Linked DNA regions of Rattus norvegicus. The protein of the gene in region 2 purifies or fractionates together with the protein of the main gene of each other region. This does not show direct contact. Links are inferred from orthologs where the notes say so. Each region holds a gene or a part of one and is shown on either strand. Other genes may lie near its edges. The genes, in order: Ncoa6, Paxip1 and Pagr1.

What was found.
Region 1: the proteins of Paxip1 (region 2) and Ncoa6 purify together in Homo sapiens (co-immunoprecipitation; 6 studies listed by BioGRID and IntAct, with this or other methods). This does not show direct contact. The link is inferred for Rattus norvegicus from reciprocal best matches to the Homo sapiens genes PAXIP1 and NCOA6.
Region 3: the proteins of Paxip1 (region 2) and Pagr1 purify together in Homo sapiens (affinity purification with mass spectrometry; 6 studies listed by BioGRID and IntAct, with this or other methods). This does not show direct contact. The link is inferred for Rattus norvegicus from reciprocal best matches to the Homo sapiens genes PAXIP1 and PAGR1.

Annotation. Positions count from the first base shown.
Region 1 is NC_086021.1:164,380,613-164,385,765, reverse strand, and holds part of Ncoa6 (nuclear receptor coactivator 6), read left to right. Parts: intron 1-1,845; coding exon 1,846-1,968; intron 1,969-3,561; coding exon 3,562-3,690; intron 3,691-4,616; coding exon 4,617-5,153. UniProt on the Homo sapiens protein: Nuclear receptor coactivator that directly binds nuclear receptors and stimulates the transcriptional activities in a hormone-dependent fashion. Coactivates expression in an agonist- and AF2-dependent manner.
Region 2 is NC_086022.1:8,282,252-8,287,404, reverse strand, and holds part of Paxip1 (PAX-interacting protein 1), read right to left. Parts: intron 3,491-5,153; coding exon 2,758-3,490; intron 2,403-2,757; coding exon 2,308-2,402; intron 1-2,307.
Region 3 is NC_086019.1:191,052,157-191,057,975, forward strand, and holds Pagr1 (PAXIP1-associated glutamate-rich protein 1), read right to left. Parts: upstream 3,345-5,819; 5' UTR 2,981-3,344; coding exon 2,502-2,980; intron 2,342-2,501; coding exon 2,259-2,341; intron 1,532-2,258; coding exon 1,332-1,531; 3' UTR 1,072-1,331; downstream 1-1,071. Other genes in the region: Prrt2 (proline-rich transmembrane protein 2), read right to left, coding at 4,794-4,804, 4,955-5,087, 5,447-5,819. UniProt on the Homo sapiens protein: Its association with the histone methyltransferase MLL2/MLL3 complex is suggesting a role in epigenetic transcriptional activation. However, in association with PAXIP1/PTIP is proposed to function at least in part independently of the MLL2/MLL3 complex.

The DNA.
Region 1 (5,153 bases), on a different chromosome or scaffold from region 2:
TACCTACCTCCTTTATAGCTTCCTGCTTTACCTTCAAACTGGAAACCAAGATGCTAAGATATGAACGGAGTTGGGGCATATAATCCTTCCAACTCCCAAGTGATGGGACAGCTATCTTAGCTCTCCCCAAGGTGTTAAGTGTCTTCTGTGGAAGGTACTATAGCAGTCAAAATTGTGGACTAAGGGCAAGAAGCACTTATTTTGGCAGCTGTTTTTCTTCTTCTTCTTTTTTTTATTCCTTTCTTTTTTGTTTTTTTGTTTTTTTTTGTTTTGTTTTGTTCTGTTTTTTGGGATAGGGTTTCTCTGTGCCACAGTCTCAGCTGTCCTGGAATTTGCTCTATAGGTCAGAATGGCCTTGAACTCACAGAGATCCACCAGCTCTGCCTCCCGAGTGCAGGGATTAAAGGTCTGAGCTATCTTGCCTGGCTCAGCAACTGTTTTCCATTAGGCCAAGTAAGATTTAAATTTTCATAACTAGAGAGACAGCTCAGCAGTTAAGAGCACTGACTGCTCTTCCTGAGGTCCTGAGTTCAAATCCCAGCAACCACATGGTGGCTCACAACCATCTGTAATAAGATCTGATGCCCTCTTCTGGTGTGTCTGAAGACAGCTACAGTGTACTCACATACATAAAGTAAATAAATCTTTTAAGTTTCCTTAGAAACTGTTTAATGAAACAATTCTAGTATCCTACCTACATTTGAAGCTCAAATGAGCCATCTTGAGATGGCTCAGATTTAAGAATACTTGTTACTCTTGCAGACCTGGGTTTGGTTTCCGGCACCCACTCACAACCATCATAATTCCAACACTTTCTCTCTGACTTCTTCGTGTATTATATGCATGTGATACATATACATACTTGGAGGCAAAAGTCTCACTTAAAATAAGTCCTAAAAACAAATACAGGAGATGCAGTCAGTGCATTGGCATGGCACGTGCTTGCCATGTACAAGGATTCAGTCCCCAGCACGGCCCGTTAGAAACACTGAAATGTTCTTACCTTTTGTCACAGAGGTAATTAGGAGAGACTTCTCTGTTTGCCATTACATGACATCTCTACTACAAGGCTGTAGGGACCTTTTTGTTCTGTGTGGCCGAGCACAATCTTGAACTTCTGATCTTTCCTCCACCTCTGAGGCGCTTTGATCACAAACATGTTCTAACACACTAGGTTTGTGCAGTACTGGGGACAAACCTAGTGTTTTGTGCATGCTAAGCAAGGACTGTGCCACAGACTTATAGTCACAATACCTGAAAACTTTTTTATAGTGTAGTTATTGCAAGAAAATGGTAATTTCCTCACAAGTCCTCCAGGGTCTCTCCACCTAAGTATTACAGTGTCCATACTATCCTGCATACTTCTTTCCACATACCTCTTATCTCCTAATTATAAACTCCCAGAAGGGAGTGGGGAATTTTGAGTTTCCGAGTCTCTTCCTATTCTCCACTTGTTCCCATCCTGCCCCTGCTCCTACCCACAGTTTGTGGGCCAGTTTTGAAAATAAGTGTTGAGACTTTGAAGCCCTCTGACACTAAGCAACTTCGTTAGTGATTGCGGTCGCCTTGTGCTTGTTAAGCTGGAACATGCCGCATAGACTAGGACTTCAGTTTCCTGTAATTCCCGCGTTCTGGAGGGCGAGGCTCAAAGTCATGAGTTCAGAGCTAGACTGAACTGTATATAGTAAGGCTTAGGTTAGGTTATAATACTGAGCTAGCCTTTTTTATAGTAGTAAACATAATTCTTCAAAATCAGAAAAAAGTAATTTTTATGTAACTGTCTTTAAACTAAATCTGCATTTTACTCTGACTATTTTCATTTTGTAATTTTACTGTCATTTTCAGGGGAAGGTGCTATCAACCTGGCTTTGGGTCAGAACCGAAGCCAAGACGTGAGAATGAATGGACCCGTGGTATCTGGAAATTCCGTTAGGATGGAGGCAGGATTTCCCATGGCAAGTGGTCCAGGTGAGACTCCTACTCATTTTGTGTAAATTTTACCAGTTTCCTTTTGGGAGCTTGATTTCTTACAGTACTGAGTCTTGCCATGTAGATGAGATATAGAGCGTGCTCACTTCTATTTCTTAGAACAATGACAATGACAATGAACTACTCAGAGAGGTAGCAGTGACAGAGCCTGAGGTGATGGATTTATTGTCTTTGGCCTGAAAGTCTGGTGAACACTGAGTCATGGAGTAAACATTTATTAAGTACCGAGTATATGATAAGACCTATGCTAAACATTGGAAATAGAAATGAGTAAAACATGGGCTGGAGAGATGGCTCAGTGGTTAAGAGCACTGACTGCTCTTCCAAAGGTCCTGAGTTCAAATCCCAGCAACCACATGGTGGCTCACAACCATCTGTAATGAGATCTGATGCCCTCTTCTGGTGTGTCTGAAGACAGCTACAGTGTACTTAAATATAATAAATAAATAAATCTTAAAAAAAATAAATAAATAGTTTAAAAAAAAAAAAGAAATGAGTAAAACATTTTCCATCTTCAAGCAGAGGCAGGTGGATATGAGCTTGAAGCCAGTAAGGTCTGTATAGCAAGTTCTAGGCCAGCCAAGGCTACATATGAGATCTTACCTCAAACGAAAGAAAAAAATTGAGGACAGAAGTGAGTGAATTAAAAACTATAAAGAACAGCACCATCTGTTTCTTTATAAAGAGCGACTAAGCTGGGGTGGAGGAGCTCCACTGAGGCAAAGTTTACCCAGCAGGTACAAAGCCTGGGTTCAGTCTCAAACACTGCATAAAACCCCGCCTATTGATCCATGTTTATAATCTGAGCAGTTGAGGAGTGGAGGCAGGAGGATCCCGAGTTCAAGGTCGTTTTCTACTATATAGTAAGTTTGATGCCAGCCCAAGCTACACAAGACCCTGACTCAAAGAAGTGAATAATTCTGTTGAGAAAGGGACAACTAAAAGTGATTTTTAATATGGGAAGAGTTTAAAGAAACATATTCTTAAAGGATAAATATTACACTATGTAAATTAATTCTTAATATTAAAAAAAAAACTGGAGTTAGATTGCACACCTGTAATCCCAGCATTTGAGAGGATGAGGCAGGAGTTTTTCCATGAGTTTCAGGCCAGCCTGGGCTATGTAACTCTGTCTCAAAATACAGGCAGAGGGGTTGGAGAGATGGCTCAGCAGTTGAGAATTGCCTGCTTTTTTGGAAAATCAGGATTCAGTGTCCAGCACCCACATAGTGGCTCATAACCATCTGTAACTAGTTCTAGGAGATCCAATACCTCTTCTGGTCTTCACAAATACCAGATATGTAAGTGGTGTACACACATATACGTGCAGGCAAAACATATATAAACAGAAAAACTTTTAAATCTAAAAATAGTTCTTAAAAGAAAAATTTATATATTTTTTAATGTTTCTAAGGTATGTCACTAAAATAAAAATTATAAACTGAGTGTGGTAGCTGGCACATGTAGTCTCAGCCCTTCCTTAAGCAATTACTGTGACTTTCAGACAGTCTGGTCATCACACACATACGTGTGCCAACTCCAGAATATGATCTCAGGTGTTCTCTCTTCTAGGACTAATAAGAATGACAAGCCCTGCCACTGTTATGATGCCCCAGGGCGGGAACGCATCATCTTCCATGATGGCACCAGGCCCCAATCCAGAACTGCAACCCAGGACTCCTCGCCCTGCTTCTCAGTCAGGTAGTGTCTTCCGTCATTGGGAATTAAAGAAGCCGGCGTTACTTAACAGATATCATTGAGATTCAGCCACTGAGGCTGGATTCCTAACTAACTGCTCAGTTCCAGAATTACCATCAAGTCTCACAACTAAATGTCAATGTTTCTTCTCCAAATTTCTTGTTATTTTATCATCTATTTTCCAATGTTCCCAATGCTGTCCTAGTTAAGAGTTTCTATTGTTATGAACAGACACCATGACTACAGCAATTCTTATAAAGGAAAACATTTAATTGGGGCTAGCTTACAGGTTCAGAGGTTTAGAGCATGGTGGTATGCAGGCAAACATGGTACTGGAGAAGTAGTTGAGAGTTCTAGATCTGGATCAGCAGACAACAGGAAGAGAGACTGACACTGGGCCTGGCTTCAGTACTTGAAACCTCAAAGCCCACCCTTCATGACACCCCCTTTTTTCAACAAGGTCATGCCTCCTAATTATGTGCCACTCCCTATGAAGCTGTTCAGACTCCCCATTCAAACTACCATATATACCTTGGGATGCTTAGTTCTGTAAGATACACCATGACAGAATTTTGAAGTCATATGAATTTGTTACATGCTTTTTAAGTTAACATGTTATATCACTAAGCTTCCTACAGTAAAGAAGAAATTTGTCTGAAGTCTGTCTAGCATTTCCCAAACCTAGTTGACTGTTTTATCTTGTTTTCCTATAACAATAATTGCTCAGAATAAAATTTTGAAAATGTTATCTATATTTTATGTTTGATTTACTAATGAGCCATAAGCTGTGTTTAAGGCAGGATTCCTCTTTGTAACTGTTGTTTCTTAGAATATACTCATGGGTGGGTAATATCAGTGGGATCAGCAGATCCAAGCCAGCATGCTAAGATCTGGGTTGCAGTAGGTTAATTGTTACTATCCCCAAACAGATGCGATGGATCCACTTCTCTCTGGACTCCATATACAGCAACAGAGTCATCCCTCAGGATCTTTACCTCCAGCGCATCACCCAATGCAACCTGTTCCTGTGAACAGACAAATGAACCCAGCTAATTTTCCCCAGCTGCAGCAACAGCAGCAGCAACAGCAGCAGCAGCAGCAGCAGCAGCAACAGCAGCAGCAGCAACAGTTGCAGACTAGACCTTTACAACAACATCAGCAGCAACAGCCACAGGGGATTCGACCACAGTTTACTGCTCCAACTCAGGTGCCTGTTCCTCCAGGCTGGAACCAGCTGCCTTCTGGAGCCTTACAGCCTCCACCAGCCCAGGGATCTCTGGGCCCAATGACTACAAATCAAGGGTGGAAGAAGGCTCCCTTGCCTAGCCCAATGCAAGCGCAACTTCAGGCAAGACCTTCCTTAGCCACGGTACAGACACCTTCTCACCCTCCCCCTCCTTATCCTTTTGGCAGCCAACAAGCCTCACAAGCCCATACAAACTTTCCTCAAATGAGCAACCCAGGCC
Region 2 (5,153 bases):
CACTCTCGAGTACCACTGTGCCCATCAGCCATTTCACAGAAGCCAGCAGCTCCTGCCTTCACCTGCTTCCCACTGCCTGCGTTGTGTCCTGACAATAGGAATATATTTGTGAAGATATTCTAATTCACAAATGCTACTTCACTGCTTTCCAGTCTTAAACATTATCCACTGATGTTCCTGTGTGAAGGCCAAGGCAGCCAGGTGGCCAACAACTCCCACGGCGCCCTAAGACAGATGTTCTTCCTAGTGTGGGTTTTGTTTCCTGGTGCTGACCATGACCTCATCCCACCCTCCACATCTGCTGTCTTGAAAGTATCTCACTGAACCTCATTCCTAAACTCTCCACAGAAAGGTGTTTTAAAGTGTGTTTTCAAAACACATACTCTCAGGGCTTCCTCCACACCCTGCTCTTAGTCTTGTCACTCAAAGAAGAAGGGAAGGCGTCACTACCGTACCATGGCCACTTGCACAGCTGGAAGGCCCCAACTGTGTGAGGCCCTGGCTAGCCCAGGGCACAGCAAGCCCTCCCTCCCTCAAGCCCTTTTAGGAGAGTTACCCAGGAGGGAAGTAGAGCTGTCCCTGGCTTCCTTAGCTGGAGGAAACAATCTCCACGCCTTCCTTGTCTGACCTGCCAACTCTGGTTCTGTTTCACCCAAGAACTTAGCTGCCATGTACCCCCTGCTGCATTAGTGGCTTCTAAGTAGAGGTCTCTGAGCTAGACACCTGTACTCATTCTCACTCAGCTCCCACATTCCTCTGCTGGGCAGGCCGCAGAGCACTCAGAAATCACCACCCTCAATCGAGCTACAAGCTGTGCTGAACCAGAGACCATGTCCTGGCCTTGATCACAGTCTCCCTACACCAAGCCCTCAATCGTTCCTGCTCCAGTACTGCTCTTCCCCTACTCAGTACGACAGTGTGTCCATCAGGGGAAGCTATTCTGGACAGCTCTGTTCCCTTCTCTGTCCCAACTCCATCACGTGGTGTTGCAGGGCTGGAGGCTTAGCACAGAGGTGGACCTCTTATTTCTTGAGAGGAAGAGAAGGCAAAAATCAGAGAAAGACCAAAAGGCAAGGCGGCTGCCCCTGTCATCCTTTGGAGGCTGCAAGCAGACTTTAGGAAGCCAACTGACTGGGAGTGCAAAAAACCTTGTGCGACACACAAGAGGCCCTGGGCCTAGTCCGCCACACCCCACAAACTGGCTGTGTAGCATGTTTTAACCAAGTGGCTGAAGGAAGTGTCCTATCTCTGGAGTTCAAGTTCTAGAGCCTCTGCCTCAAGCCAATGAAACCCCAAACTTCACTGTTTCATGACTTCGGATTCATGAAGCCTCTCAATGGCCCATTCCAAAGCTCCCAATTCTTCCCCACTTTTCTGCCCCTACAGCCCCAACACCCTCTAGCTCTCCAACCCTATCCACCCGGGGAGCCAAGTCTATGCCTTACCACACACCTCAGATCTAACTACTCCATTCACCCCTTTCCATACTGCTTGTTAGGAAAATCCAAATCCCTCTACTATTGTATCTAAAATGGTATTGGAAGACAGACAGCCTTTGTCTTTTGCTCTCCCTGACTCAACAACTGCCCAGGACAAGACTTGATGAAAGTCCCCATTAGTGCCGCAGGGGCACCTTTATCAGGCTGCTCTGGCTGGATCGTCCCCTCCTATCCTTGCTGTAAGTCCTCCTGTGAACACATAGATCACCTCTACCAGCTTAAACAAGCCCCGTCCAGTGCTGCTCTATGGACATCACCGCCCAGCTTGCTTCTGTGCTGTCGGCTTGCCCATCCTCTCCCAACTCAACATTGCTGTCTTGCTGTACGCTTGGCATCTGGCAGAGGCTTAAGCACCAGCAATGCTTATAGCAAACAACACTTCAGCTATGCTTCTATCCTAAACTTGGTTTTTATCTAAAAGGGGAGAGGGAAGGACTGCTCCGTTTTGATTTGTAGCATGATTGCAAGAAAGACTTTTTGAAGTTTTCTTTTTCATCCATAAAAAAGAACGAATTAAAAAGAAAAATATATGAACTACCATTTCACAATTATACCAGAAGACAGTTACATGTAACCATTACCCCTGAAGGAATTTTAAGAACCAGGAAGCCCAACACTCCATGTGGTACCTCAGTATCAGAAGTACAGAACATGATGGGCACCTCCCATGGAGGCAGCACTGATGAGGGCACCCGTCCCTGCCCACCAAAGTGCACACATGGACGCTGTTACATGAGGCCAGCCAAGCAGGCGGCCATCCAACCCAGTCAAGCACACAGCTCCTGGCCAGCCGGCTCCCCCAGCTCACCCTCTTCCAGGTGGCCAGCAGCTGCTTGTCCGACATCTGCTCGGGATAGTCCGCAATGGCAAACACACAGCCCAGCAAGAAGCTTTCTTCTGGAACTAGAGGAACAGACATGAACACAAATTAAAAGTGCATTTTGATGAGTTTAGTTTGAATCCATAATCTAACTACCTCTGGAATGTTGCTACAAATATACTGTCTAAAAACTAGATCATCAGAAACAAGACATAATTTAGGTCTAAGCACTCAATCTCAGCATTGCTCCTGAGGCATCCTTGATGCTCTGACCACTGCTCCTCACTGCAGTATGTGCAAATGTAAAGAACCCTAATTGTCTCACTGTAATGCCTGCTCGACAGGTATGAGACTCACACTCCACGTGCTAATTATCTGACAGGCCCCATGCTCCTATGCAAGCTTGTAACTTGTGGGAAAATAGGAACCAGTACTAACTCTCCACTGCTGGGTCATGTCCAAAAAGCTGCTGCTGCTGCTGCTGCTGCTGCTGCTGCTGCTGCTGCTGCTGCTGCTGCTGAGGTGGGGGCTGCAGGGGCAGCTGCAGGGGCTGCTGGGGTAGAACCTGGTGTTGTAGTGCCTGGGACGTTTGGCTCAAGTGTGCTGCTTGATTCTGCATCTGCTGCTGCTGGTGCAAGCGCTGGAGCTGCTGCTGCTGTTGCTGCTGGAGGAGGTTGTGCTGCTGCTGCTGCTGCTGCTGCTGCTGCTGCTGGAGCTGTGCTAACTGGTGCTGCTGGAGCTGTTGCTGCTGCAACTGATGGAGCTGCTGCTGCAGGGCATGCTGCTGCTGAAATGGCTGCAGTTGCTGTTGAGGGCGATGCAACTGCTGCTGAGGGTGTAATGGTTGCTGTGGAAACTGGAGCTGCTGCTGAGAGAACTGATGCTGATGGACTTGCTGTGGGAACTGATGTGATGGCGGCTGGGGGTAAGGCTGGGGCTGCTGCTGCTGCTGCTGCTGTTGCTGCTGGAGCTGCATGATCTGGGGCTGGAGGTGCAGGGCTGGGTGCTGCTGCTGAGGCTGCTGGGGAGGATGGTGCTGCTGCAACGTGTGTGTCTCAGGAGCACCTTTAGCCTGGCCAAAGAGCACAGCACTGGCACTGGGGTGTCCCTGCTGTACATGTGCCACCTGCTGCTCTAGGTTTTTTGTGGGTGCTGAAAGGGATTGTAAGATCTAGAAAACAAAAAGAGGGTCAAGTTGCTACTGATAATTGCTGAGAGGCACTACCCACTCCTAGGCGAGTAACAGTGCATTCATGCAGCTGATATGCCCAACGGCTACAAAATGGGGACCAGACAACAACATACTGCTCTCACACGTACACTTTGTATTCAACATCCAGAGAGCAGGACACTGAATTATAAAGGAGAAAATGGACTAACAAACACAGGAGATGCTCTGCAGCTGAAGTGTTTGCTACCTAAACCTAGCAACCTGAGTTCAAGTACTGAACCCACTGTAGAAAAGACAAACCCAATCCCTCCCCCACCCTCTGCCCCGCCCACCACCACACACACACACACACACCCCACACTGGGGGCACTGATTCACAGAGCTGCTGCACCTTAAAGAACGGGGACAGGATGGCAAAACAAACAAGTGGCAGTATTTGGTGTTTTACAGGCCTGAGCAGCCTGGGCAATGTCCCCAGCAGCCCCCCTCTACTGGTAGCCTGGCCTGCTTCTGACTAGGGTGCTGTGGAGAGTGGCAGCTTTGGCTCAAGCCTCTCCATGGCAGAGCCATGTTCTACCCCTCCTGCTTCTAGGAGTTACCTCTACTCAGGCGGGGGATCCACTATTACCACCAAAACAACTCAGGCCGCAGCTATACCCAGCATAGCTCCTGTTCCTCCCACACTGCACCTTGCCCCCAGGCAGTGGATGTAACACAGAAAAGAGATGGAGGGACTCTAGCAAAAGGTGTTCTTAAAGGCAAATGTTAGCTGGGCTTGATGGTACAGACCTGTAATTCCAACACTTGCAAAATGGAGGAAAGACCATCAGGCATTCAAGGTCAGCCCTGGCTATACAGCGAGTTCAAGGCTAACCTGAGCTACACAAGATAGTATCCTCAAATTGAATTGTTAATATTGTTGTGGGGGGGGGGGGGAGGCTGGACAGTAGGCATGCCAGCCTGACAAACCAGAGCTCTGTCTCCAGAACCCACATAAGAGCCAGGCACAGGAGGAGCGCATGTACCTGAGATCTTAATGCACCTACAGGGAGAAGGAACCAGGACAGCCTCCGACTCGGAGATCCACCTACCTAAGACTAGAGAAATCAGGAAGCTCGTAGGTCACACAGACTAGCTACACAGCAGTGAACAAGAGAGACTCAGTCCCAAATAGGACCAGACACTTAACGTCTTGCTCTGACCTCCCCATGAGCACTAGCACAAGCACATCCACACACAAGGATAAACATGCTCCCTTTAGTAGCAGTATATTAAAACTGGAGTGAAACAGAAAATATCCTCAAGCTCACGCAGTCTCCAGCCTACACAAAGAACTACAGGCAACCAAGGACAGCTGAGAGCCATGGTTATCCCATACCAAACATGCACACATACAACAGCATACAGACTAAGCGGGTTCTCTTCATCTACTTAGGTGTACACACACAAAGATACGTAACAACAATGAATGGAAAAGAAGTCATGAATCTGAAAGACAGCAAGGAAGGGTGAGAGGGTTTGGAAGAAGGAAAATGATGTAATTATATTAAAATCTCAAAAAATAAGAATAAGGCTCATGAGAGCAATCTTTCTTTGCTTTTGTTTTGTATGAATTCATAGGCAGCACCAAAAACAGGACTAGAATGGATGGCTTCCTGAGAAA
Region 3 (5,819 bases), on a different chromosome or scaffold from region 2:
GGTGTGCTATGTCACTGTGCCACACTCCATCCATCAGGGCAGAGTCCTTGCCCAAATACATGAAACCCTAGGTGTGAGCCCCAGCTCTGAATAAAACTGATGGCGATGACAGAAATCTATGTCAGCATTCACTCAGGAGATGGAGGCAAGAAGGTCAGGTGTTCAAGGTCATCCCGGGCTACAGAGAGTTCAAGACCACTTTCTCAACAACCACCACCACCACCCAACCAAAACAAAACCTAAAGTCAACCAACCAAACAAGAGAAATGAAAACGATGGTCTCTCCTGCTACGTGTCTGAGTTGGTTCAGGACTCCTGGGCTCAAGGCATCTTTCCGCTTCTGCTACGGAGCAGGGAGTAGCACATGTGTGCTACTGGGCCTGACAAAAGTACCCCCTCACCTATAATCTGTTGGGGAGACCCTGATGTCAGGGAGGCCTGAGGTTTTGGGGTTGAGGACATTAACAGGGTGCTTTCAAACCCTGAAACTCATAGAAAGTGAAACCTCACAAGGCAGAGCCACCAACGCCCTCCCTTCCTGTAATTTGTGACTGAGGTGTTCTTGTCTCAGTCACAAGAAAGATTTCTGAAAAGCAGGAAGACTAGAGAGAGCCTTTGGAACAGACCCCTGGGTTGGAGTCTGGGGGGGTCCCGCCAGGGTCACAATCTGTACTCACATTTAGCAGGGTAGCTGGCAGCTGCAAGCCACAGGTCAGGAATTTCCCTCACCAAGCGGGACTTCCCTAAAGGGCTGGGCCGGCAGGGGCGGAGCTTGGGTATTTAAAGGGCCCTGCAACTGGATCTTTTCCTCCTTCAGGATGCACTGAAGACACAGCAGCTAGGTTCATACTCCCAGACTGGCGATTTCTGCTTCAGTGCTAACTGGTGGGGTTGGATGAGTCTAGGAAATCAGAGGACCTGGTGGGGGGGGCAGGGGGGTTGGGGTAAGGGGGAGGTGTTAGATGATGGCTGGCTGCACCTCTGCCTCATCTGGCTTCAGTATATCACTGTGGAGGGATACAGTTCTGCCTCTGCCCAAGTAAGAACATGTGCTTGGGTTGAGCGGCAGTCTCTCCTCTGAAAAGATCATCAGGCATCTTTTATTAGATTCAGCATATCCAGCTCAAAACTGTAAACAGACACTAAACAACAACAACAACAACAACAACACACACACACGCACACGCACACACACACACACACACACACACTCTCCTGCAAGGCACTGCGCTGGGAGCTTGAGGCTTTTTCTGTTACAAGAGCCTGGGATGGGAAAGGCCGGCCATGCTCAGCACAAAACAGTCTGCACCTGTAGGCCAGAGCAGCAACAGTCAGTACTTTCGCTGCCTGGGAAAGAGACTATTTCCTGAGGATCGGAGTGGAGGGCTGGCAGGGCTGGGGCCTTCTGAGTCTAAGCTGAAGAGGTCTCTCCCGGTCCGAAGGATCTGCTCCTCTAGTTTCTTATGTCGCTTCATGTCTGAGAGGACTTTATCCAGACGCGCCTCCCGTTTCTGGCTCCGGGCTGAGCTTCCTAAGAAGGTAGGAAATGTGACACCATTAAGCCAGTGAGCATCCCCAAGCCCCTACACGTAGAGATCTTGTTAAATACATACTTTTTAGGCCTGGGGAGCACAGAGAAGCAAATGTTGAGGTTTGGGCCACACACAGGATGGCTGATATTAAGCTAAGATACCCATAATGCAATGGCTGGGGAACATAGCCATCAAGTGCAAAGGTCCTGGGGCAGGAGGCAGATTTATTCTGAGTACAGGGCACTGGGGCAGAGGCACTGGACATGCTCTTCCCTGTGATGGAATCCTCTGGAGGAGTACAAGCAGAGAAAAGACAAGACTTCACTTAGAAGGACTACTCTGGTTGCTAAGACCAGGACTGCGGATACTAGTTAGAACTGTGAAAAGTGTCAACAAGAGAAATCGAAGGTGGAACTGTAGAAGTGGAGCTAATTAATGCAACTTGCTGTTGGCTTAACCAGCTGGGAGAGAGCTCAAGAATGATTCTGAAAGTAAACTCTAGAAAGGCGACGGGCTGGGATGTCAGGAGATCTTGGACTTTTGGGAAGGTTTGTGGGTCTCTGACAGAAAAGTATAGCATTGACCTAAGTCAGAAATAGGCTGCCACTGTGTGAATGCTCCATCTTGCATGACGGCAGAAATCAGCCAAGGCCTCAGACCAGCCCTCTTCTGAGGTAACTAAAAGAGGCCCTTTACTTCCCCTCAATTCTTCCCTCTCATTCCTACCTGGTGTACGTCTTCTGTCAATCAGTGAGTCCTTGGGTGTCACTGGCTCATCATCAAAGTCAAACTCTGTAGGCATGTGCGGCCTGAAACAGGGTGGACAGAAAGCGAAGGGTGAGAGAAGCTCTCCCAAACACCTGCTGGCATACCCCAGCCCGCTGCCTCTCCCTTTCCTGCTCTCCCCTCCCTCCAGTTTCAGTGTTCAAGAGAGAAGTCCCGTGAATAATGTGTAAAGCATGGCCTCACTTTTCCTCCTCCTCCTCTTTGGCCTCTGGCTCCTCATCTGATCTCTCCTCTTCACTCTGGGCCTCAGGAGTAGGCGGCCGGCGGGGTAGGATCTCCGCTTGAAGCTCCAGAGTACCTTGGGTAGCCAGCAGTTCATAGAGCCGCTGGATTTCGGAGGGTGGGGGCATCCAGGACTGCCCATTGGCCGGCAGCTCCACCTCCTCGTCGCTGCAGGGCACGCACCAGTCTTCGGATTCTCCCTCGGCACGCTCGTCGCTCACAGCGCTGGAAGCTTCTAGTGCCTCCTCAGCCCTGGATGCCTCACGCCCGGCCTCCTCCTGACTGCCTTTCCCCTCTTCCTCGGCCTTACTAGCCGAGACAGAGGGACCTCCAGTGTCCTCCACCGCCAGAGCCTGGAGGCCGGAAGTCACTTCCCCTTCTTCAGACAGAGGCGCCGCTGTGCTGCCTGCAATGGTTCCATGGCCCAGGGCAAGGGACATAGAGTACTAGAGAAGAGCCCAGCAATATAGGAGACTCTGGAGTACCAAACCAGGGTGCCTCACCCAAAAGGCTTTAGATCAAGTGGGGGTCTAAGAAATCACCAACGAGGCAGTCCAACAACTGACTGCGGCCAGAGCACGGTCCCCAGGAGGGGGCGCTCAGGTCCCTGCTAGGACAGACCCCACCCCACGGATCCAGAATTCTGCCGTTCCCAGGGACCGGCAGGAGACACGCTCGGAGCTGGAAAGGGAAGGGCCTGCTTTCTCGCTTTCACATCGCCTTCTCCATCACCTGGATGGAAGCCATTTTTTTAAACCCGGCAAACCTAGTTCGCGTCTACTCAGCAGCGGTACAAACCTGGAGCTAAAACCCGCCTCCCTGGCTGCGCAGGATCGCAGTACGCAGGCGCAGAGAAATGGCGCGCGGAGGCTCCGTGGTAGTCAAAACTACTTGGAAGGGGAAAAAAAAAAAAAAAAAAAAAAGAGACCACTTGCGCATGCGCAATGAGGCCCTCAGGCATCACTAACTTCGGCCCATACTAAAGATGGCCACTGCGGCAGCGCATGCGTATTCCGTTCACTAGGGCCTGCCAGAAAGCAGTACCTTGACTCTGCAAACCAACACAGGGACCAACTGAGGCCAGTCTCATGCATTCTCTGTTTATTAGTGTTTAAGACTCATGCAGCATTCAGCATACAAAAAGGGAGACTCAGTTTTATTTTTTTAAAGGAATTTTAGTTTTCCCCCCAACTTTTTTTAAAGAAAGAAAACAAACAAACAAACAAAAAAAACACCGACCAACTCCGAAATGCATCGCAGCTGGCTCTCTGCCTCCTCAGTGGGCTGTCGCGTGCAACAAACCTCCCTCGTCCTCTTAGAGAATATTACAGAGCTCGCGCCCTTCCCTTGCTCCCTGCAGTTGAGAACTTTGGTCCTTTTTAAATTTTTTTTAAAATTCTACTGTTTACAAAGCACATAAATGGACCTTCGAGAAACTCTTGAGGTTAAAAAGCCCAAATGGGCAGGTCAATTTAGGCTGACTCTTCAGCCACAGCTATACCCCTTCCTCCCCTGAATGTTCAGAACCAGGACTCCCACTCTTGTGCAAGTACCCCAGGTGAGGTCTGGCTTGCCAGCTTTGCGACCCAATAGGCACCTTAGGGGTTAGGGTGGGGGTATGATCTGGGCCTGGGTGGTCCCCAGTAGAGAACAGTCAGAGCCCCTAGCTAGGCAGACCTCTCCCCACACCATCCTTCTTCCCTCAGCCTGACCTAAGTACTGCAGGTTTTGCAGACTAAGTGTTGGCAGGAGGGTGAAGACGCTAAGGGAAAGATGAGAAGGGGTCAGGGGATGTGGCAAGGGGAAAGAATGTTAGGGAAGGGAAGAAAGGGATGGGTTAGATACCAAGACAATGAAAGTTGGGAGGTCAGGGTTAATTAAGGTTCAGAGGATTCCAGGGGCAGGGAGAAGTGCAAGGAGGCTGGGAGGGATGCGGAGGTGCAGAGTACAATTTAGATGTTCAGGGAGGCGTCCAGAAGTGCAGAGGGGTTTTCAGAGTGCAGGACTAGGGGGGTCAAGAGGCAGGAGGGGAGATCTGCAGGCAAAAGTGCAGGGAGAAAGGAAGCCTACGGCTGGCAGAGGAGCCTGGCAGGATGCAGGAGTAGGGAAGAAGCTGTAAACAAGGCCCGCTCAGGCTCCCTCAGTCCCTAGGGGTGGGGGCCAGGGCCATGGACTGGGATTCTCCCAGGATTGGGATGGACCCAAGACAGCTCCCAACAGGAAGAAAAGTCTTGGAATGCAGGGCAGAGCCCCTCACTTATACACTGTGGGAGAGGAGAGGGAAAGACAGACAGGGAGGAAGGAAGAGACAAAGGAATAGGGAGGACAGACAGGAGAGAGCAGGGTCAGGGGTTAGTAAAGCTGCCCTTGTCAACCCTCCACACCTCCCCTTCCTGTCCCCGACCCCCACTCACCGCCTAAGTTGATGACGCAGGAGGCGATGATGATGAGGACCCCCCCAACCAGCGCCACGATGCTTAAGAGCTTGGCTACTCGACCCAGACGTTGAGCCCCATCCACGTCCCCCTGTTGCAGGCTGTTCCGGGACTGGGGTGAGGGTGAGGGGTTTGGAGGTATCATGGCCCAGGTCAGCAGGAGCCAGCCCAGCAGGGATCAGGTGAGAGTCCAGAGGGAAGACAGCCCCATTGGATTAAGGAAGGAGAATTGGGGATGCAGGAGGAAATGGGTACAGGTCAGCAAGATTATATGAAACATCTGTTTCCCTCCCACTTGAAGGGCAGTAGTGCCTTGGAGGGTTAGGTGAGAGGCAAGCAAAGGCCTGGCAATTGGAAAAGTGGGATCCATGCAGAGAGGTGAGGGAAGGTGTCGTTACTGGGGCTCTGGGCTGACACTGGCAGGAAGCTGGGAGCCATAGTACACTTGGGCCGGGGTCCCTTGGAGCTCACCATGACGGCATAAGCGAAGGCCACAATGTTGACAGGCCACATGGGGCAGAAGCAGGACAGGATGGCAAGGATGATATAGTCCCGAGGTTTCTGGGTGCCTTCACCCCCTTCCACCCCAGGACCTGCCAGCTGGGAGCTGGGATGACGGCTTAGGCTACCTCGAGGAGATCCTGGATGCCCACCATGAGCCCTTCCTATTCTGTCTTCCTCAACCAGCTTCTGCAGCACACGGGGGGGTGCACCATTGGCTGGGGGTGTTTTAGTTGAGGGTGGTGAGTGAGGCTGGGGGGCTGGGCCCTCTTCCCCATCACCAGCCTGAAGGGGAACCACTGCTCCATTTTCTTGTTTTTCCCCTGTACTTTCTGTCAGGACC